Elephas maximus indicus: one gene and its partner. The protein of the gene in region 1 purifies or fractionates together with the protein of each later gene. This does not show direct contact. Links are inferred from orthologs where the notes say so. Each region holds a gene or a part of one and is shown on either strand. Other genes may lie near its edges.

Region 1 (11,176 bases):
TACTGGCTCAGACTGAGAGTAAAACTCAACCCAGCCATTCGCCAAGATGAGGTAACAGATAACAGATAAAGCCAGCTGCAAAGTTAAAAGGAAATCATAGCTCTCCTAAAGATACTCAGGGGCTGTAAAGTGTCTGTTAGGGATGGAATTGTGTCCCCTCAAAATATGTATTGAAATACTGGCCATCTGTGCTTATGGATGTAATCCTGTTTGGAAATAGGAATTTTCTTTTGTTATGTTAATAAGGTCACACCAAACTAGGGTGGGCCCTACACCTAATCACTTCTGAGTCACAAACAGAGCAGATGTAGACACCAGCATACACAGAGGGAAGACAGACAATGGAGACATACATCTACAAGCCCAGGAATGCGCTGAACCTGACCTCCAAAGAACTCCCTAGGGCTACAAGCAAGGAAGGACTTCCCCTTAGAATCAAGCTTCCAATCAGGACTCTGAATCAACTCTGAGATAATAAATTTCTGTTCTCGAAAGCCATCAATCTGTGGTATTTGTATTACAACAGCAGTGCTGTAGGGTGGGAAATGCTGGTCATGTAGTGGTTAAATGCTATGGCTGCTAACCAAAAGGTCGGCAGTTCAAATCCACCAGGCACTTCTTGGAAACTTGATGGGGTAGTTCCACCCTGTCCTATAGGGTTACTATGAGTCAGGATCAACTCGATGGCAACGGGTTTGGCTTTGGGGTTTACTATTTTTATGAGTCAGAATTGGCTTGACGGCAATGGGTTTGGTTTTTGGGTTAAAAAAAAAAGGGTCATAGTGACCCTCTTCTTTGAGTGACTACTGCTTTCTTAATGAGAAAACTATGTTCTCTAAAATTATAGGCTGTTAGGGAATTTCTAGTTTGAAATATATCAGTACAAATCAAATATCTTACTCTTGCTTGAAGACTGTAAGTCACTGTGACACAGAGAAGCCGCCTCAACTTCCAACTCAGGTACAGGGCGTTGCATGACAGAGCTTCCCTTCAAATTCTCAGGGCTGAGGTCTAGAAATGGAGGTTTTCTGTGCCAAGGTGTTCGGCAGGCTTTGTGATTTGAGGGTCAAAAATGCCAAGAGCAAGCCAGAGGGTGATTTTCAGGGGCATGTTGTGACACCAATACTCCTCAGCATGTTTTCTTCTTTTTCAAAATAGGCAACTGAGGGCTTGACACAACTATGTTGAATTTATAAGTTTTTCTCCTTCCTCTGCCTGACTCCTCCTTCGCATACCTCTGTCAATGACTTTGTTCTTTGTTTTAAACAGATGCAAATAAACTTTTGTTCAGTCCCACCACCTGTGACTTACAACCCCCACCGGAAAATCAGAGCCCAAGTGTCTGATACGTATTTCTTTAGTCTGATAGAGTCTTTTGTCACTGTCTTGTAATGAATAACTCCTCAGGCCTGGCCATCTGGGGACTACAAAGACACTTGTAATCCTTGTATGATTCTATATAAACTGTGATGTAAAATTGTTCTTGGGGACTCTATAGAGACGTCTGCCTGTGTTGCTGCTGCCCTCCCCCTACCCCCCGTGACGTTTACATCTCCTTAACAAACTTTCTCACTCTTTCTGATTAGAGTGTGTTTCATTGGTTCGACTGCTCCACGGTACGGACCCTATTCTGGTAACAATGTGCTGGAGCTTGGCTCCCCAATACGGCCCCATTCAGGTTTGTGGGCGCCTATTTCTGCACCCCCTTCCTACTGTAGAAGGAGTCCCTGGCTGGTGCAAAGAGTTAAGCATGTGGCTACTACCCAAAAGGTTGGTAGTTCAAACCCACCCAGGGGTGCCTTGGAAGAAGGCCTTCCATTTGCTGCTGAAAGGTCACAGCTTTGAAAAGGCTTTGGAACAAATGGGGTGGCCATGAGGCTGTATCAACTGGACGATCGTCAGTATCGATTCCTTGGCAACTAACAACAGGCCCCAGCAAGAACTTCAGCTTCAAACCTCCAACCTAGTAGTCCGGTGCCATTTGCACTACTCAGGGACTCCCACCAGGGCGAACAAGGAGCAAATAAATGAATGGATGATTATAAGCAGTGATAAGTACTGGGGAATAAGTGACCAGGAACAGGGAACTAGGAATATAGGAAAAAAAGAAAAAATCTTTTTGGTATTCTCGGCTATACTATTCACCCAACTCAAAGTTTACCAAGGCTGCTGACACTTGGAATTCAAATGCTGTACTTAAATCACAAACCATCTCTGCTGTTAGTTGAGTGGGTTTGGTGCAGGGCCCAGAGCCTCTTGGTCTAAGGGTGTTTTTTTACTGAACAAGCACTCCAGACGGGGAGGAACGCACTTGGAGAGAAGGTGAAGAGAGTGGTTTTGAGTCTGTGGCCAAAAGGGTAGCAGCAAAGGTGGACAGAGAGCTTCCTGGTCAGAAGCAAGGCTGAGCCTGTCTCTGCCACACCCTAGCTGTGTGATGGTGGACCAGCCACTGCATTCCTCTAACTCGAACTTTCAGCCTGTGAAAATGGTGCACTTATTTATTTGGCCAAGGAGCCCTGGTGGCACAGTGGTTAAACACTCGGCTGCTAACTGAAAAAGTCAACCGTTTGAACCCACCAGCCGCTCTGTGGGAGAAAAATCCTGGCAATCTGTTCCTGTAAAGATATCAGCCTAGGAAACCCTATGTGGCAGTTCTACTCTGTCCTATTGGGTTGCTATGAGTGGAAATCAGCTCAACAGCACCTAACAACATGTATATGTATGTATGTATATTTACGTACATATGCAGTGCTATGGATTACTTTTATATGGCCTTTCTTACCATGGTCTTCTAACTCCCGCCAAATGACTAGGTAAACCAAAAAAACCAAACCCACTGCCTTCGAGTTGATTCTGACTCATAGCAACCCTATGGGACAGAACAGAACTGCCCCATGTGGTTTCCAAGGAGTGCCTGGTGGATTCCAACTGCTGACTTTTTAGTTAGCAGCCATACCTCTTAACCTCTACGCTGCCAGGTTTTCCTGGGTGGGACCATGCAAATAGGTGTATGGAATCTTAACCGGGGGACTGGGCAGTTTTGTCACCCTGCTAAGCTTAAAATGAGTCATCCCAGAGGCAGGAAAGGGGGACCTCACTATCACAAAGAAAGATGGGAACGGAGTGTGTACTTTGGACCTGGGGTCCCTGCGCTGAGAATCTTCTAGACCCAGGAGCCAGAGAGAGAGGTCTAACACCAGAGATGGTGCAAGACGGCAAGAAGTAATCGTAGAGAAGCTGTGGCAGCAGAACTAGGAGACCGGCGCTAGACAACTTATTGGGCTTCCTGGCCCACAGAACAAGGTGGTTACAGTGGATATACTGACCCATGGAGTAAGACAGCTGAGTGACTTTGGGCAGGAGGCTTCCCAGCAGAGTGGGTTGCCCTTGGGCGGTTATTGGCAGAGCAAAAGAGCTTTCTTTGTAACACCTGCCCAAGCAGGGCAGAAGCTGGGCCAAGGGATTGAGAGGCCCAGCGGCCAACAGCCAGAGAGAGGCTTACCTGCAAGAACGGCTGAGAAGAGGCTGTCCTGATAGAAGAACTGTATCCTGAGTCATCTCTGCTCCTGAATTTGTAACCCGTTACTTCCCTAATAAATCCCATAACTTGTGAATATGGTCTGTGTGGCCACTGCAATGGATTATCAAACCCAGCAGAGAAGTAGAGCGTGCTACAGGAGGGACGCTTGGTGTCAGAATTGGTAAAGAGGCTGGAGAGTGGAGGTATGTTTGACCTCCCCCTCATAGGAATCAGCCTTGGGCTGTTGATCTTGATTCTCCTTCCCCTTTGTGAACTTCCATTCTTATAACATATCAAGGAGCCCTGATGGTACAATGGTTAAGTACTCAGCTGCTAACTGAAAGGTCAGCAGTTGGAACCCACCAGCCACTCAGTGGGAGAAAGATGTGGCAGTCTGCTCCTGTAAATATCACAGGCAGCCTTGGAAACCTTATGGGCGCAGTTCTACTCTATCCTATAGGGTCACTATGAGTTGGAATTAACTTGACAGAAATTTTTTTTTTTTTTTAGAAATTGCCAGTTTTCCAAAGCGGTTGAACCAATTTACTTTCCTAATAGCACAGTGTGAGAGTTCTGCCTGCTCCCCGTCTTTGCCAACACTTGGTAGTTTCAGTCTTTCATTTTAGCCATTTTGGTAGGCATGAAATGGTATTTCAATAGGGTTTTATTTGCATCTCCATGATGACTAACGTGTCTGGCACCTTTTCATATGTTTGCTCCATAAATATTTGTTGAAAGAATAAATGAATGAATGAAGAATTTGGATAAAAATGGGAAATAATCTGACCATGTCTCTCCCTCTGCTTAAAACTCTTCAGTGGCTCCCCATTGCTCTTAGGGCCAAGCCGAAATCCCTCCCCTGGCTGACAAGAGCCTTTGTGCTCTGATTCCTGCCACCCCTCCTGCTCCAGATGGGTCCCTTCTGTGCTTCTCTCTGGATTCCTGACACTCAGGGCATCTTCAGGTTCCTTCATGGCCCTGCTCTGTCCTGCTTCCTGGCTTTTATCTAAATTGTTTTCTTCAGCCTCGAACACAAGCCAGGTGTCATAAATCCAGATTGGTTGCTTGTATCTAGGCTCAGAAACCCTTTCCTCTGTGAAGCCTTCCCTGGCCCCCACCCTATAGCAGCCAGGGCCTCTTTTGGCTCTCTTATGTCCACTTTTCTTCCTAGCTCTTAAAAAAAAAAATTAAAAAAATTTTTTTTTTTTGCTGCTGTAAATACCTACCTCTCTGTGTGATTATTTAATTAATATCTGTTCCCCCTTACAAACAACAAAATAAAAGCAAAGAAACAGAAGACAAAGAACTCAACACTTTACGCTGAATAAGTTTTGCCTTGTTCCTAAATATTTGTTGAATATATAAATAGCAAAGCAACAGGACAATGAGCATTGTCATCTGAAAGCAATTATCCCTTAAAAACTCACACTTTGAGGGGTACCTGAGCCAAAAAAAAAAAAAAAAATCACAGGAAATGATTCTATCCTCCGCCCTCACTAGGTACTTTAAGGGCTCAAATTCAAACAGTGTTCTTGTTTTCTTTGGTGCAGCTGTTTTTTCTGTGTGTGTGTTTAACGAAACCACACATTAGGTAGGGGATTAAGAAAAGGGAGGAAAGGCCTTGCTAGTGTCACAGGGAAAGTGTGGACTTCCAGGCCTTAGCCCCAACTCCTATCACTTGCTGCCTGTGTATCTATGAGTTAAACCGTTCTTTTTTTAAGGCAATAAGGGGAAACTCTGGTGGTATAGTGGTTAGGTGCTAGGGCTGATAACCAAAAGGTCGGCAGGTTGAATCCGCCAGGTGCTTCTTCGAAACTCTATGGGGCAGTTCTACCCTGTCGGAATCGACTCAACAGCATTGGGTTTGGTTTTTTTTTAAGGCAATATGGTATGGTGGTTAGCATCATAGCCCCCTGCCCCCACCAGAATGCCTGAGTTGAAAAGTTGTCTCAGTTACTTACCATCTATATAATCCTTGACAAATTACTCTGGCTCTCTGGGCTTCCGTTTCCTCACTTGCAAAGTGGAGATAATAATAGTATCTACCTCATGGGGTTAATGTGAGGATTGTTGTTGCTAGCTGCTCTCGCGTGGCGCCTGACCCCTGAGTCACTGCGAACCCATGTGTTACAGAGTGGAGCTGCTCCACAGAGTTTTCTTGGCTGAAATTTTTTCAAGGAGATAGCTAGATCTTTCTCCCTTGGAACCTGCAGACATGCTGGGTGGGTTCGGAACCACCAACATTTCCATTAGCAGCCAACTGCAAACCACTTTAGCCATCCAGTTAATTCATGTTCACTGCTAACAACACATACTAACACACATACAAACCCATGACTACGAATGCCTGTTAATTATTGTCATCTCCAGTCTTAGTTTAACTCTAAGGTGAGCTCTTTGGGATGAAGACTAGAGCCCCTGGGCCAAGAGTGCTCAGACCGGTTGTGGGTTCAAATCCCACTTCCACTTCTTGGGCACGTCATTTCATCTCTCTGAGCCTCAGTCTCTCTATTTGTAACGGTTAGATTAATAAGGGTATCCACTTCCTACTCTGAGTCAGCTGGCTGGGTTCAAATCCCAGCTCTGCCAGTTGATCAGGTGACCCTGGGAAAGCCACTTCACTTCTCTGGGCCTTTTTCCCTCTCTTCCATGAAAGGGGCGGAAGTAGCGGGCACCTGAAACTGTGGACCTACTGAAGCCGGCTGAGAGCAAGGTGTTCCCTGAGGGCGCCGGCCTTAAGTGGACCTGAAGGAGGCCCGAGGCAGAATAGGGCTGTTGATGGACTCGGCAGCCAAGGAGTAGGAATGCACGCCGACTTTTTAAATGATTTTGAAGATCTCGTTGACGATGACGATATCCAGAGAGACACAGTTCAGCTGTGCCACTGTCCCTCCTCAGTCACACAGCGGTGCAGCGGATCTCAGCGGACCACTTACCGTGGCTGAAAGGTCTCAGGCACGGTTAACCAAGACAGATGCTGCCTGTTAATCTCTCAACGTCCTTATTTAAAAAAAAAAAAAAAGAGCAGCGTCACAAAAAAAAAAAAAGGAAGTAATATTAGCGAGGCTGTCGTGAGAACGCAGCTAAGATGTTTGGCACACTGTTTTCTCCTTGTTATCATTACTGTTGTCGTGGCTGTTGTTTTAACAGGATTCGAAAACTGGACGCAGGGTCTGGGCACAAAAACCCAGGCCGCTTTCGGAGGGTTAGCAAACCCTCGCCAGGCCTCCGTAGGGGGTGGGATCCGGCGACCCCTGAGGATGTGGGGACAGGCGCAAGGGCGGTGGCCTGGGGGCCCGGAAGCCCTGGGCGCCGGGGGCGCGGAGGTGGCGGGGGTCGAGCCCGCGTGGGCGGTCCGCTGTGCCGCGCCGAGGTGAGCCGGCCGGGGCGGGGCCGCCGCATCCCCGTGACGCGCGGGCCAACCAGGCGGCGTTGCGGCTCCAGCTCCTCCGCCGCCGCCTCGGGCCCTCCCGCCGCCGCCGCCGCTGCTACAGCTACAGCTACAGCCGGGCCATCCGCCGCCTGCTGCCCGCCGCCCGTGCCCGCCGCCCGCGCCGGCCGCATGGCGCTCCGGGGCTTCTGCAGCGCCGATGGCTCCGACCCCTTGTGGGTACGTGCTCGCGGCCGCCGGGGCCGCGTGGGGCCGCCGGAGGGAGGGAGGGAAGGAGAGAGGGAGGGAAGGAGGCCGGCGGGCTGGCAGGCTGGCGCAGCAGGGGAAGCGCTGGGCAGGGCGGGCCGGGCCCGCAGCTCCGGGGCGCCCGCTGAGGACCCGGAGCCCGCCTCCCGGCTCCGCCGCCGGCCTGGGGGTTCCGCTCCCCAGCCGCCGCCGCCCGGGCCCCTTCGTTTGTGGAACTGATGGGGAAGCTTGTGTGACTCGGTTTCAGGGAAGTCGAGTGTGGGATGGGGGAAGGCAAGAGCCCAGCCCTAGGGCTTTGGAGGTGGGGAAGGGCCCAGACCCTCGGCGAGGGGCCGGAAAGAGGGGCCCTTCATGCTTTGGGATTCCCTCCCTCAATTAAAAATAACTTCTCAGGGAAGCAGACGCCAGAGCTGGGGGACAGTAAAGAGAGGTGTCTCTGCCTGTGTTCTCCCATCTCTCTGGATCGGGGTCCCCCTTCCACAAAGAGCATCCCATTACCAAAGAGCTGAGCTGGGGAGAGGCTTGGGCTGTAGAAGGGGGGTTCCCACTGATTGGGTTGGCGTTTGCCCCCTCCTCAGGTGTTTTCATCCGCATTACTGTGCTGTGGTTACATATTTTTGTCATCTTTTCCTTTTTTTCTGCCTAAATGCTCCAGGGGCAATTTGGGGGAACAGGGGAAGATCAAGGGGAGAAGATGGCTGCTCACCCCTGCTCTGTGTCCCCCCACCCCCAGGGTCAGGCTTGGGGTGCAACTGAGGATTCCTAGGGCTCTAGTACCTGTGGGGTATGTCTACCCCACCCCTGTAATGTGGGCCTCCTCACTGGTTTTTACCCCACCAAGTTTTCTTCAGCATGGGTGATGTCGTGCTTGCTTGGGTCTCAAGAGTTCACTTCCCGTGTGGTTTAATCCCCAGTGCCTTGGGCTTTAGCAACGGTGTAATACGATTTGCCCCTTTGTTCAGGGTAGGGCACTTCTGTGTCATGCTGTCTTGACTACTGGTAGATGCAGTAAGCCAATCTGGACGTGAAGTTGTCTTAGGCTGGGTTCTCTATAGAAGCAAAACCAGTGAAGCTTATATATCTATACATATATATACATGTATGTATATGAACCTGTTGCTATTGAGTAGTTTTCAACTCATAGTAGCCCTATAAGCCCTATAGGACAGAGTATAACTGCCATGTAGGATTTCCAAGGAGCACCTGGTAGATTTGAACTGCTGACCTTTTGGTAAACAGCTGAGCTTTTAACTACTGCACCACCAAAGTGCTCTATCTCTGTGTGTATATATATGTGTGTGTGTATATATACATATATATGTATGTATAAAAACCAAAAGAATCCATTGCCATCAAGTTGATTCAGACTTATAGCAACCCTGTAGGACAGAGTAGACCTGCCCCATGTGGTTTCCAAGGAGCACCTGGTGGATTCGAACTGTTGACCTTTTGGTTAGCAGCCATAGCTCTTAACCACTATGCCACCAGAGTTGCCATGTGTATATGTGTGTATATATATGTGTATGAATATATGTATATATGTGTATATTTATCTCAAGGAAATGGCTCACATGGTAGTAGAGGCTGGCAAGTCCCGAATCAGACTGGAGGCTTCTCCTGACTCACGTAGCTGTAGGGGCTGATGAACCCAAGATTGGAAGGTCAGACAGCAGGCTGCTGTCTCACAGGCTGCAGAGACCATGGAATCCTAAGATTGGCAGGCAATACAGCGGGCCACTGGCTCAAGTCCCAGGAACCAGAAGTCAAATAACGATGAGCTGGATGCAGGATCCAGAGGGAGCAAAAGCCAGTGAGCTTTGCCAGAGCATCTTGATATATTGGATGCAGGCCCCTCCCCCAAAGAAATTCTGCTTACAGCTTATTGGCTGATCACATCAGATCACATCATGGAGGGGATTACATTATATCACAAAATGGAGGGTAACTAGATCATCGCACAATTGCCAAACCACTGAGAATCACGGCCCAGCCCAAGATGATATACAACTTTAACCATCACAATAGTTTTTCATCTTTAGTTAAGGAATTAGGAGAAAGAATCACCTTTGTCTCCTGGGAACTGGTGTTTAGCATCTGAAAATACCTTCTTGTCCTGTTTCGTAGTCTTTTCCTTGAAGGCTGTATTTTTACTGGAAGGATTTAGTTTTGAGCAGGGTATCCTTTTGGTAGAACAACCAGCAGCCCTGCCTTTTTGTTTCGCATTTTCTGGCCAGTGCAGTTGGAGATTTGCTCCAGGGCTGCGAATAGTACATGTGCTTTGCATTCAGGGTCTAGGAGTGATTGGAGAGCAGACCTTTTGCAGAGTTGGACTCTAATTGGCAGTGAGGACAAACCTGTAGATCGACCCTCCTGCTCTCCATCCCAGTTGTAATTAAGGCTTAAGGCTGGGAAAGACTGGCTTCCCAGCCAGTTAGATAAGCGCGTGACGTTGGGCAAGGCACTTCACCTCTTTGTGCCTCAGTTTTCCTCATCTGTAAAATGGGGGCAGGTAATAAATGTCACAACCTCCTAGGGTTGTTGTGAAGAGTAAAACAATGTTAAACAGAGTTAAACAATGATTATTATTCTTTCTAAAGATGAAGTTCGTGTGTTTCGAGTTGCATGTGTTTGAGCCCACTTTTCATTTGATGTTTGGGGATGGGATTGGGCTGTGGGATCTGCCTGCCAACTCATGCCTGGCTTCTCTTATGACCAAAGTCATGTGTTTAAAAATCAAGGTGACCTTGAAAACGTTAACGCTGAGTGAAATAAGTCAGCCGCGAAAGGGCAAATATTGTATGAAATTGTATGCAATATCTAGAATCAGCAAGTATGTAGAGACAAAAGTTTTACTAGGGGTGGGAGGGATAGAGGGAGAAAGGAAGACACAATGCTTAGCACTGAGCTTCTGTTAAGGATGTTAGAAAAATTCGAGGACTGTTGATGGCGATGACTAAACGCAATTAATGCCACTGAACTGTACCCGTGAAGGTTGTAGAAATGGCAGATGTTCTCTGTTACCTACATACTTATCAGTAAGAAAAAAAAATCAAGGTGACTGGCCCACCTGTGACTCTATCAGAAGCTTTGTTCCTGGGAGTGTCTGCTTCCGGGCCCAGAAAAACTTGAGCGGGGGACATGGCCAATGGTGAGAGGTCTGTGGACTTATCAAGTCCACTCAGGCAAATGCTCTGGAATGAGAAAAGGGAAAGTCTGTTATCTACATGGAAAATAGAGGCTGAGTTCACAGGTGCTTGGCTTTGTTTGGGGACTGTAGGCTGGCAGAAGGGGCTGTTTTGTGGTTGATATTTGAATGAAGGTTGGGAAAGTTGAGTCTGGGTTTCTCCATACAAGTTAGTTTTTTAAAAAAAAACATTTGTTTACTAATGCGATGCGTGCCCAGAGTGAAAAATCAGAAAATGTGAAAAAGTAGAGAAAACAAATAAGCAGTGTAGTGTGGGTTTACAAATCCTGGCTCTGTGGCTTACCAGCTGGATAGCTTAGGTAAGTTACTTTTCTTTGTGCCTCTGTTTCCCCATGTGGACAATCGGGATGATGATAATAGTCTCTGGCAAAAAGTGGTAGTAGGAAGAATAAGCAAGTGAACTCTTGGCAGGTGCTTAGAACATTGCTTCTCGGTATGGCCTAAAAACAAAGTAAAATTCAGTTGCTGTCGAGTCGATTCCAATTCATTGCAACCCGTGTGTGTGTCAGAGTAGAAATATGCTCTGTGGGGTTTTCAGTGCCTGATTTTTCAGAAGTAGACTGCCAGGCCTTTCTTCTGAGGTGCCTCTGGGTGGACTCGAACCTCCAATCTTTTGGTTAGCAACCAAGTACATTAACTATGTGCACCACCCAGGGATGCTTTGTTGTTTTTGTGTGCTGTTGAGTTGACTCCACCCTGTATGGCAGAATAGAACTGCCCCATAGGGTTTCCTAGGCTGTAAATCTTTACAAGAGTTGATTGCCACATCTGTCTCCTGTGGAGTAGCTGGTGGGTTCGAACTGCCGACCCTTTG
Region 2 (11,094 bases), on another chromosome or scaffold:
AATCTGCAGGGAACCCAGCCTAGTGCCAAAAGTACACTGTTTCACATAACAAGCGTGATAATGGTTTTTAAATGGGTTTCTTTAATTACATTACATCTATTAAAAGAATAATAGGTACTCACCACTCCACTACAAGACTTGGTTTTTAGGTCGATTTTGACCATGCCAAACCCTAGACACACACACAAAAACACAGTAATGTACAAAATGTGACATCCAGTCCAATTTTGCAACTCAGAAATTAAGAAAACAGACTGCAATATTTTCCATATATAAAATACATAGTATTTTCATTAGCTGAGAATTCTGTAATGAACTGAATTTACAACCAAGCAATTTAAGTATAATTTTTAAGCCCTCCAAAATGAATAAACACATACTTTAAAAATATAAGTTAAAAATGAATGAAAACAATATGCATTATTCCAAGAACCAATATTTCTAGAAGATATTATGCTGATATACACACAAGTTTAAAATATAAATTAACAATACTGGTTAAGAAGAAATCAAATGTGTTCAGCATAAAAATTAAGAGTTTAAATATTAAGTTTTAAAAAACTAAAAATAAATGTGCATTTAGGATCAATGAATATATATTACTCGAAGGAAGTCAAAAGTTGTGTCTTTACTCTCATAAAAACACTGCCATTATTTGGACAGGGAAAAAGCACCCCTGTTTTAATTGTCCACAAGGCTAGCCAGAGGAGATATAGATATTATATATTTATATTATTTTATCTTATCAATAACATTTTATACGCACATACACACACACACACACACACACACATATATATATACACACTTGATTTTAATGGTTCTAAGGGCTCTAAAGGAGCCCTGGTAGCACAACACTCAGCTGCTAACCTTAGAGGCTGGCAGTCTGAACCCACCCAGCAGCTCCATGGGAGAAAGACCTGGTGATCTGCTCCCTTAAAGATTCCAAAACAAAAAACAAAATCCATTGCCATCAAATCGATTCCAACTCATAGCAACCATATATGACATAGGAGAACTGCCCCACAGGATCTACTGCCAATTGCTAGGCTGACCGCTTAACCACTGCACCACCAGGGACCCTCCTTAAAGTTTAAAACAAAAAAACCCCACTGCTGTCTAGTCAATTCCAACTCATACAACCCTACAGGTCAGAGTAGATCTGCCCCACAGGGTTTCCAAGGAGCGGCTGGTGAATTTGAACTGCTGGCCTTTTGGTTAGCAGCCAAGCTCTTTAACCACCAGGGCTCCGCCTTAAAGATTACAGCCTAAAAAACGCTATGGGCAGTGCTACTCTGTCACACAGGGCCGCTATGAGTCAAAATCAATTCAACGGCACCTAACAACAACAATAAAGGACTCTACCTTTAAAAAAATCAAGTCTAATAACCTAATAGTTATCTCCTTAAATCACTAATCCTTACACCCCAAAGATGGAAATTTACAATAGCATTACTTACCATATCCTTTGTTGAAGACATCCTTGGCAGCCTTCCCTAGGTCACAGTAAGTCGGTGTGTTACACATATCTTATAAAGAAAAATGGGACAAAGGAATAAAAATAACCACTGAGTATTTATTCACCCATAGTTTTTCAACATTTCATCCTGGGAGAAGTATACAGTTTTCTCTTCCTTTGCATCATTAATGCTTATACTCTAAGACAACTGAAGTTAAGAGAAGGCATTCTGTCCTTACAAAAGAACTTTCCAGAACACTGGAGAAGAAAAGGTTTTCTCATGAGAGTCACAGAGGTCATCTTTCTGAGTGCATCAGAGAAAAACAAGTTCTCACAGGCTGAAGGAGATGCTTTGTTAAACTGGACTTCTCACTTTTTAAAAAATATGCCAAATTCACTTAGAAAAACCTTTCTCAGGCTGTGATAAAAGCCAAAGAGCAATACAGGGCAACAAGGTAAATATTTTAAGGAACTGTAACAATAGATGCAAAGAAAATCCTTAGGGTTCACATTTTTGCTTCTCTGAAATTCAGTTCTTAAAATAAGAAACCACCATACTAACTGAAATGTATTCACCCAGAATATACCCCCTCTCAAAGCGCTTCTTAAAATGCAGCGCTGCAATCATACCTATTAACCAGAAATAGGATGGATTCTACCTACATAATCTGTTTACCAAAAATTGGTGTAAACTACAAAGCTAAAGCCTTCAAAAATCCAAGGTGCCTTGACTTTTCATCTTGCCTACTTAGTATTCAGCCAGCTTTTCTACCACCGATATGACCCTCCCAACAAATTCTCAGAAGCTATCAACATTTCAGAACATACCACTCCTTTATACTCTTTGTACGCTGGAAATTTTTTTCCTGCAACAGGTTCTGTTGTTGCAAACTCCAAAGCCATATCTAACAAATTACAGAACCACCTCAAGTAGCCACATTACCTCGATGACTATACCATGAAAAAGTTCAGAACACCAGGTAGCCTTTGCAATTCCCATGCCTACACCATCTACACATAGTCAAACCATATTCATTTATATTTAGCCTAGCTCTTAATCTGGCCTTCTGCTAAGCTTCTGCCTATACCATCATACCTGAAGAACATGACATACACTTATATTGCACCTCTCAACTGTGAATTTATTTACACCTTGTCCCATAACCTAAACCAGTGAAATGACAGACATCATGATATAAAGTTATGAGGAAGATTTTACACATATCGTATAAATGTACTGACTCACATGGTCTTAAGACTTTGCTCAGAAGCTACAAGATTTCAGAGTTCACCTCCAGAGTAACTATTTTACAATTCAACCGCTTTTGTACTCAAATGATCAATTTACATTATTTCCAAAGTGACGTTATTACTCTTTATCATCACAATTTGGGAAATATAGAAAAGCAGGCCCTACATATTCAGAAATGTTAAGGCTTTACATTCTGGCTTTTCTTCTAACTGCCAAGAAGGGAAAATGTTCAGAAGCACCCATATATAGAGAAGCTATTTACAACCTTTTAGTATTTTCCTTTATTACTTTTTTCAAAGCCACTGCCAGGTATTCTGCAAAAGCCGCATAGCAGGTTTAGTTCACCTACTGATGTCAATTCTGCCTATTTTTAGGTGACTTTTTCAGTCCCACGATTCTGATGGGAAACGCACTGCTGGTATGATCAAGCAAAAAACCAGAAGGCTTCATGTTACTCGACAGTGCGATCACATATTTCTATCCGCTCCACAAATGCACTTATTTTTTGTAGATAAGCACAATATAGCGGTGTTGCCCTCGATGCAGACCGGGGGAAAGGCGTTAACTGGGTAATACTGCTTTACACAATTCCTAACTTGACAGTCAGCCAAGAGCTCCTTTTGTTCCTCGTTTCTGTTTAAATTGCACGTGCAGCGTCCTCCCTTTGGCCTCAAGGAGCGAAGAGCTCCCGATGTTTGATAACAATTCCAGAAAGGGGGCTGGAAACGGGGGAGCGGGTTTGGGATTCCAGAATCCAACTTCCCCAAACATCAATCCTAGCCTGACGCCTAGAAAGCAAGCCCGGTCCCGACACCGCCGAAGGGAAGGTCGACGCTCCGCGCTCGCAGCAGCTCCTCTCACCGCCAGGCTCCATCACCTGAGGCGACAGGCGGAGCAAGGTCCCCGGCGGAGCGCAGCGCCCCCTCTGCCCCTGCTGCCCGGCCGGCCCGCGCCGCTCCCGCGCCCCGTTAGACTGCTCCGTCCCTCCTGAACCCTCCGTTAGGTCAGTCCCTCGCCGGGTTCCCTGCTCTGTCGCCACCCGCGGCGCCCCGGCCCCTCCGCCAGTCGCGCCGGCCGGCGGCCTCGGCTCCTCTCACCTCCAGCCAGAGGGCCCGTCTCGGCTCGGCCAGGGCAACAGCGCAGAAGGTCTTCTCCCCACCAACGCCGTCCGCGCCTGCGCGACCTCACTCCCCCGCGGCGCCTGCGCGCCCCACCTTCTGCCGCCCCGCGTTTGCGCCGTGGTGGCCGGCGGGGTTCGCTCACCGCCGATCTGGGCGGGGGAGAGGAACAGCTGGGGCGAACAAACGCGGCCAACTGTCCGGCTCCGTGTGAGCGCGTGCGCAGGAGGGCCCAGCGCGCAGGTGGCTGGGGGCGGGGGGCACACGCGGCAGACCGCACTGTGGCCCGGGCAGGGGCTCCTCTCGCGAGAACGCCCGGAGGCTGCCCTCACTGTTACCATGGGAGGGCCGCGGCGGGGGCGGGTGGGAAGACTGATGGATGCTCGGGTCTGATGCGTCAGATCCAGCCCGTTTCATTCCTGGGCGGATGCCGTTGCAGGTCTTCATGGGAATTTCATCTCAGACGGACCAGAATTCAAGAATGTGACCCTTAGGTCATCTCATCTTAAGGATGAGAAAACATAGGTTCCAAGGGCGCAAGTGATTTCTTGAAGATCACACAAATACAGATTCCAATTCAAGGTGGGGTGGGGCGACCCTTCTTTGTCGAAGATACCAAGCCAATGAATGTAGAAGAAATTATAGAAACAAAACCACCGTTTGGAGCCACCATAGTGAGACTGGTTCAGGCGAAAATTATCAATGGATGCTAACTGTTGAGAATATTCGTACTGTTTGTGAGTGTCGCCCCAGAGATTATTTACTAAATTACAGAAAGTAAGGGTTACTTTTAAAAAAAACACCATGGAAATCACCCTTAATCAATGGATCAAACTAAACATCGCCAGCGTAGGACGCCCAGAGGACACAAAGGTAGTATTCTTGCCAAACCAAACCAAAACCGAACCCACTGCTGTTGAGTGGATTCCAACTCATAGCGACCCTACAGGACAGAGTAGAACTGCCCCCAAAGAGTTTTCAAGGGTAAGTGGTGGGTAGGTGGCATATTCATGAGGAAACAATCGGACAAATCAAATTCAGGAACATTCTGCAAAACAACTGCCCCGTCTCTTAAAAAATGGAGATTTCATGAAATTGTAAGAAAAAGGATAGTGGATTGTTCTAGATTAAAAGAAACAAAAGACATGACACTAAAGGCAATGTGTGATCCTAAATTGGACTCTAGATAAAAACAATTAAAAAAAAAAAACAGCAGTAAGGGGCATTATTGGGACAATTGGGGAGCTTTGAATATAGACTGTGTATTAGTATTGTAACAATGCAAGATTTTCTGAGGATAATTGTGTTGTGGTAATGTGGAAATACTCTTGTTTTTAGGAGATACACCCTGAAGCCTTTAGGAGTAAAATAGCATGGGTCTGCAACTAACTTAAATGGTTCAAAAGAAGAGAGTGACAGCGAGCAAATGTGACAAAATGTTAACAACTGGGGAATCTAGGTGAGAGATATATACAGGTGTTTGTTGCACTATTCTTGAAACTTTTCAGTGAGTTTTAATTTTCAAAATAAAAAGTTGAGGAGAAAAACACCTACAAAGTCTGTGAGGCTCAGTCCCCAACACCAGGTTGCTGCTTTAGTCAATAGGCAGATATGATTAGTCTTTAAAGTTAATCACAGATAAAAAAGATAAACGCTCCCAAAGGACTCATTATCTAAGACTTGGACAAATAACTGCTGAATGAGGCAGAATATGATAAATGCCGTAAGCAAAGCAGTATAACCTAATAAGCTGAACAAAATGAGTACTGGAGTCAAAAGAGGCTGGGCTTGTGCCTCAACTGTGCCAAATCTGTGCTTTTGGGCAAGCAACTTAAATCTCTCTATGCTTCAGTTTCCTCATAAGAGAAACAGAACTAAGTAATATATACCTCAGAGGATTGTAATGGGTATTAAATGAAATAATGAACCTGTAGCATGTAATCTACCTGGCATATGGAAAATATTCATTAGTTAATAAAACTGTTGAAAATTAATATGCTATGAGAATTTAAAAGCTATAGAGGCAAAACCCATATTTATGCATACACAGGAGACCTGTTCACTGGAGCCACAATTCCAGCCTATGCTTTGGCTCAGCGCTAGCCTTTGTTGGATACAGCTGGCCATTAAAGGCTATAAACAGCACTTTGAGCAGGAATTTGGCAACATTCCTTTCTTCATCTTCTGTTACCCAAAAGTCTTTCTTCTGAAAAGACCTGACAACCGTCATCTCGCATCATCCAGAGAGACTTGCTCTCTTTCGCAACGCCTGAAACAGGAAGGTGGTGAAAGAAACCAGCGCTGCTGCAGGAGAGCATCCTTCCTTTGTTTCCCGTCCTTCTGGCCCTGTCGGTTTAGTGGGTTGCAGATTAAACGCTCAATGTCCATATCAAGACTTTGGCCTTAGTCACCTCAAAAACTGCACCAGAAATGGTACAGCACTGTGGAAAACATTTTGGCAGTTCCTACGAGCCAGTAATTCCACTTCGAGGTATAGTTTTTACCCAAAAGAATTGCAAACAAAAACCAAACAGATACAGTTACCCCAGTGTTCATTGCAGCACTATTTGCAATAGCAAAAAGATGGAAACCACCTACATGCCCATTAACAGATGAATGGATAAACAAAATGTGTTACATACATACACTGGGATAGTACTCAGCCATGAAGATAAATGAAGTTCTAATATGTGCTACAACATGAATGAACCTTGAAAACATCATACTGAGTGAAACATGTCAGTCACAAAAGGACAAATATTGCATGATTCTACTTACATGAAATATCCAGAATAGGTGTGTATACAGACCTAAGTTTATGAGTGGTTACCAGAGGTGGGTAGGAGGGAAAAGAGGACTCATTGCTTAGAGGACACTGAGCTTCTGTTAAGGGTGATGGAAAAATTAGGAAACAGATGATGATGCTCGCACAACTGATGATGAATAGAATGTCACTGAATTGTACATGTGAAGAATGGTGAAATGGCAAATGTTTTGTTACATGTATATTTACCACACAGAAGAAACAGGAGTAGATATACATAAAATTATAACAAGGAAAACAAATCTAAATCAGAGAACTAAAGCCAGTTCTCATTTCCCCCACCTCCACTGGATGTAAACTCTTCAGAAGTGTAGATAGGACTCTCAGTCCAAATCACAATAACATGGTATTCTTCTCCTATAAAATCTATAGAATTACAGCATTATAGAGCAGAGAAAGGACTTTAAATTTTTTCATTTGAGAGACATTTGCTAAGTGCTTGCTATGTATGCTCCAAGGTGAGGTATGAGGAAACACCTCACGACATCACTGCTGTGCGGGTCCAGAGGCCCATGGCGAACCTCATGAGCAGGTTCCCCATTCAGGTTACCCTCCTGAGTCAAGATAGCCTGCTGAACAACTGGACTAAACCAAAAGCAAAGAAGTTTCCTGAATACAACCGAATGCTTCAAAGGCCAGAGTAGCAGGGATGGGGGTTTAGGGACCATGGTTTCAGGGGACATCTAGGTCAGTTGGCATAAAGAAATGTATTAAGAAAACATTCTGCATCCCACTCTGGTGAGTCATGTCTGGGGCCTTAAACACTAGTAAGCAGCCATCTAAGATGCATCAATTGGTCTCAACCCACCTAGACAAAAGAGAATGAAGAACACCAAAGACATAAGGTAAAGATGAGCCCCAGAGACAGAAAGGGCCACATAAACCAGAGACTATATCAGCCTGAGACCAGAAGAACTAGATGGTGCCCGACTACAACGGAGGACTGCCCTGACAGGGAACACAACAGAGAATCCCAGATGGAGCAGAAAAACAATGGGATGCAGATCTCAAATTCTCATAAAAAGACCAGACTTAATGGTCTGACTGAGACTAGAGAGACCCCTGAGGTCATGGTCCCCAGACCCTTTGTTAGCTCAAGACTGGAACCATTCCCAAAGCCAACACTTCAGACAGGGATTGAACTGGACTATAAGACAGAAAGTAATACTGGTGAGGGTGAGCTTCTTGGCTCAAGTAGACCCATGAGGCTATGTGGGCAGCTCCTGTCTGCAAGCGAGATGAGAAGGCGGGGGAGGCGAGACAGGAGATGGTTGAATGGACATGGGGAATACAGGGTGGAGAGGAGAGGGGAAGAGAAGCTAGGAGTACATAGCAAGCTGTGTATGAGTTTTTTAATGAGAGGCTGACTTGTAAACTTTCACATAAAGCACAATAAAAAAAGATAGCCTGCTGATCTATGTACATTAGTTTTTTGAGAGAAAATAACAGAAAGTTAGTATAGTTTTACCCAGAAATGGTAGTGGTGGGGGGACTGAGAACAGGGACCCTTCTGTGAAGATTTGATAGTTCGACTACCGTAAGTGTAGAGATATTATAAGACTTTGAAAACAAAAGTGTTATTTAATTCTCTGTTTCGTTAAAGAAAAGGGTACTACTTGCTTGTTTTCAAGGCCAAGGACCCCAAAAACTCTGATGAGGAGTGCATCTTTGAAGAGAAGGTGGCAGCAAGCCAAGCCCCTGGGCCTTTACAAGGAGGCAGCAGAGCACAGAGACTCTGGGGGAAAGCACATTACCTAAGCCTGGGGAGGCAACTGAAGGCTTTTTAGAGGAAGTGACAGCTTGCAGTGGTTCAGGTGGGCACAAGAGAATGGCTTCCAGAGCAGAGGGACAGAATGATCAAAGACATCATACTTTTAATCCTGGAATTCCATATCTAGGAACTCACCTCAAGGAAAAAACCATAGATTTGTGCAAAGACATCTTGAACAGCTGGAATGGTTTATCCAAAAAAAAAAAAAAACCCCTTTGCCGTCGAGTCAATTCCGACTCATAGTGACTCTATAGGTCAGAGTAGAACTGGCTCTATAGGGTTTCCAAGGAGCAGCTTGTGGATTCGAACTGCTGACGTTTTAGTTAGCACCCGAGCTCTTAACCACTATCCCACCAGAGCTCCTGAATGGTTTATAGTAGCAAAAAAAAGAAAAGTTCTTTTCTTTTTTTGAAAAATAAAAAAGCAACCTAAATGGCCAATACAGAGGGTTCATTAAATAAACAGTAAAAACCAAAAACTAAACCCGTTGCCATCGAGTCAATTCCAACTCATAGCAACCCTGTAGAACTGCCCCATAGAGTTCCAAGAAGCAACTGGTGAATTTGAACTACTCACCTTTTGGTCAGTAGCCATAGCTCGTAACCACTGCACCACCAGGGCCCCAAATAACTTAAAATCCACCCATATTCTAGATTTCAGTACAGCCAGTAAAATGTGTTCTAATAATTTTTGATGTTCTGGGGATAGAGCTCTTAATGTTCTATTCTGGGAAAGAGAGAGAAAGGAAACAAAAGTATACATACAGTGTAATCCCAGTTGTGTGTGGGTGTATGTGCGTGTGTGCGTTGTAATTTCACTTCAGGAAAAAGCAAGGGAATAATAAGCATAGCATCACTGTTTACCTCTGCGGGAGCTGGACTTTTACTAAAATTTAGCAGTGACTAAAAAAAAAAAAAAATTTTTTTTTTTTTTTTTTACCACAGCTGGGTCAGAATATATGTGACTTTTCCTTCCTTCTTCAGGCTTCTCTGTATTTTCCAGAATTTCTAAAATGAAAGTGGGTTTCCTTTATAACTGAGAAGTTAAGCTCACTTTAATAGGTGGGGAAGTACCTAGATTTATAAGATGGGAAGGGCTGTTCTCTGGGGAATTTCCACCAGAAGGGAGATGCTTCCGGAATGGTGAACATAGAATTCACCTTGGACCTTCTGAGTGCTCACTCCACACTGAACCACAAGGGGGAGCAAGGAAACAAGGTAAAAGAAAAACTGTATCTGTTGGGCCACACGGGGCTTCAGAGACACAAGGACCCTATTCCTTCAAGCCCTTACTCCCCAGGAGCCTCATCCAGGTTCTTCATAAGGTTGTGAGCATGGTTATGAATTACAGTTAACTGTGTGCCTAGGGCCTCCCTACTAAGGTCAGATTCTAAGTTTAATGTCAATAATATTTGCAAGGCGTCTTCACAGGGAAACCAATTTTGTCAAAGTGATATGTGTAGTCTGACTGATCCAACCTGCAAATTATTTCATCTTAACCACTTCCTTGTGAATCACTATAATTCCATTTACATAAAGGATAATTTAGGGAAAAAAGAAAGTAACATGCTTCTACAGTGATATGCCATGGAAAAAATAGCAAGAAAATGAAAAGTAGTTCCCTTCTATTTTTTTTTTTTCCTAAGTATATAGCTGTGATAAGCAGGCTGGATATGTTCGGGAATGGACTTCAGTTAGCGAGCTGTATCATGTGGTATAAAGGAAAGTGTAAACCTTAGAGCCAGATAAATTATGTTAAAGTCCTAGGTCTGCAACTCACTAACCATGTGACCCTAGGTGAATTATTTGACCTCTTTGAGCCTCAGTTTCTTCATTTTTAAAATGGAGATTCCTCAGAAGTAGATTCCTCTTCCAATGCGGCTCTCCAGAGGAAGCCTTCATACGCAGATAGCTTTCTTTGGCCAAGGTCCTGAGGAGGCTCGGCCTGCACCCGGAGTAGGAGCCTGGTGACAGAGAAGCCAAGTCATACCCAGTGAGTCAGCTACATCACAACATCCAAAAAATGGAGCAACTAGAGGAAGACTTGCTCTGCAGGAGAAGTATAGGGACTGTGGTAACTCTAACGGGGAAGATATTTCTGGGGTTCTTTCATAGGGGACACTAAAGAAAGTAGGCCGGAACCTTCAAGGTGCCTCTCCACCCTGGCCAGGATTGTTGGTGTTAGCTGACATGAAGTCGGCCCTTGACTCATGGTGATTCCAAACCCAGCTGAACGAAATGCTTCCAGGTCCTGCACCATCCCCCGTGGTTGGTTGCAAATAGGACCACTGTGATCCATAGGGTTTTCACTGGCTGATTTTCTGGAAGTAGATTCCCAGGCTTTTCTTCCTATTGCAGCTTAATCTGGAAGTTTCATAGCAACAAGCAAACCTCCACTAATAGAAGGTGGTGCCTGCATGTTACATTCATTGGCTGGGAATCGAACCTGGGTTTCCTGCATGGAAGGCAAGAATACTACCGTGGAACCACCAATATCCCTGGAGGAAAAACCAAAAAAACCAAACCCAGTGCTGTGGAGTCAATTCCGACTATAGTGACCCTATAGGACAGAGTAGAACTGCCCCATAGAGATTCCAAGGAGCGCCTGGTGGATTTGAACTGCCGACCCTTTGGTTCACAGCTATAGCACTTAACTGCTATGCCAGCAGGG

Evidence for each region.
Region 2: the proteins of ABCC1 (region 1) and VDAC3 fractionate together in Homo sapiens (co-fractionation; 3 studies listed by BioGRID). This does not show direct contact. The link is inferred for Elephas maximus indicus from reciprocal best matches to the Homo sapiens genes ABCC1 and VDAC3.

What each region holds. Positions count from the first base shown.
Region 1 is NC_064830.1:76,492,110-76,503,285, forward strand, and holds the start of ABCC1 (multidrug resistance-associated protein 1), read left to right. Parts: upstream 1-6,593; 5' UTR 6,594-6,608; coding exon 6,609-7,130; intron 7,131-10,066; exon of another isoform or gene 10,067-11,176.
Region 2 is NC_064840.1:57,989,375-58,000,468, forward strand, and holds the start of VDAC3 (voltage-dependent anion-selective channel protein 3), read right to left. Parts: upstream 4,049-11,094; 5' UTR 3,809-4,048; intron 1,530-3,808; 5' UTR 1,528-1,529; coding exon 1,461-1,527; intron 173-1,460; coding exon 123-172; intron 1-122. UniProt on the Homo sapiens protein: Non-selective voltage-gated ion channel that mediates the transport of anions and cations through the mitochondrion outer membrane and plasma membrane.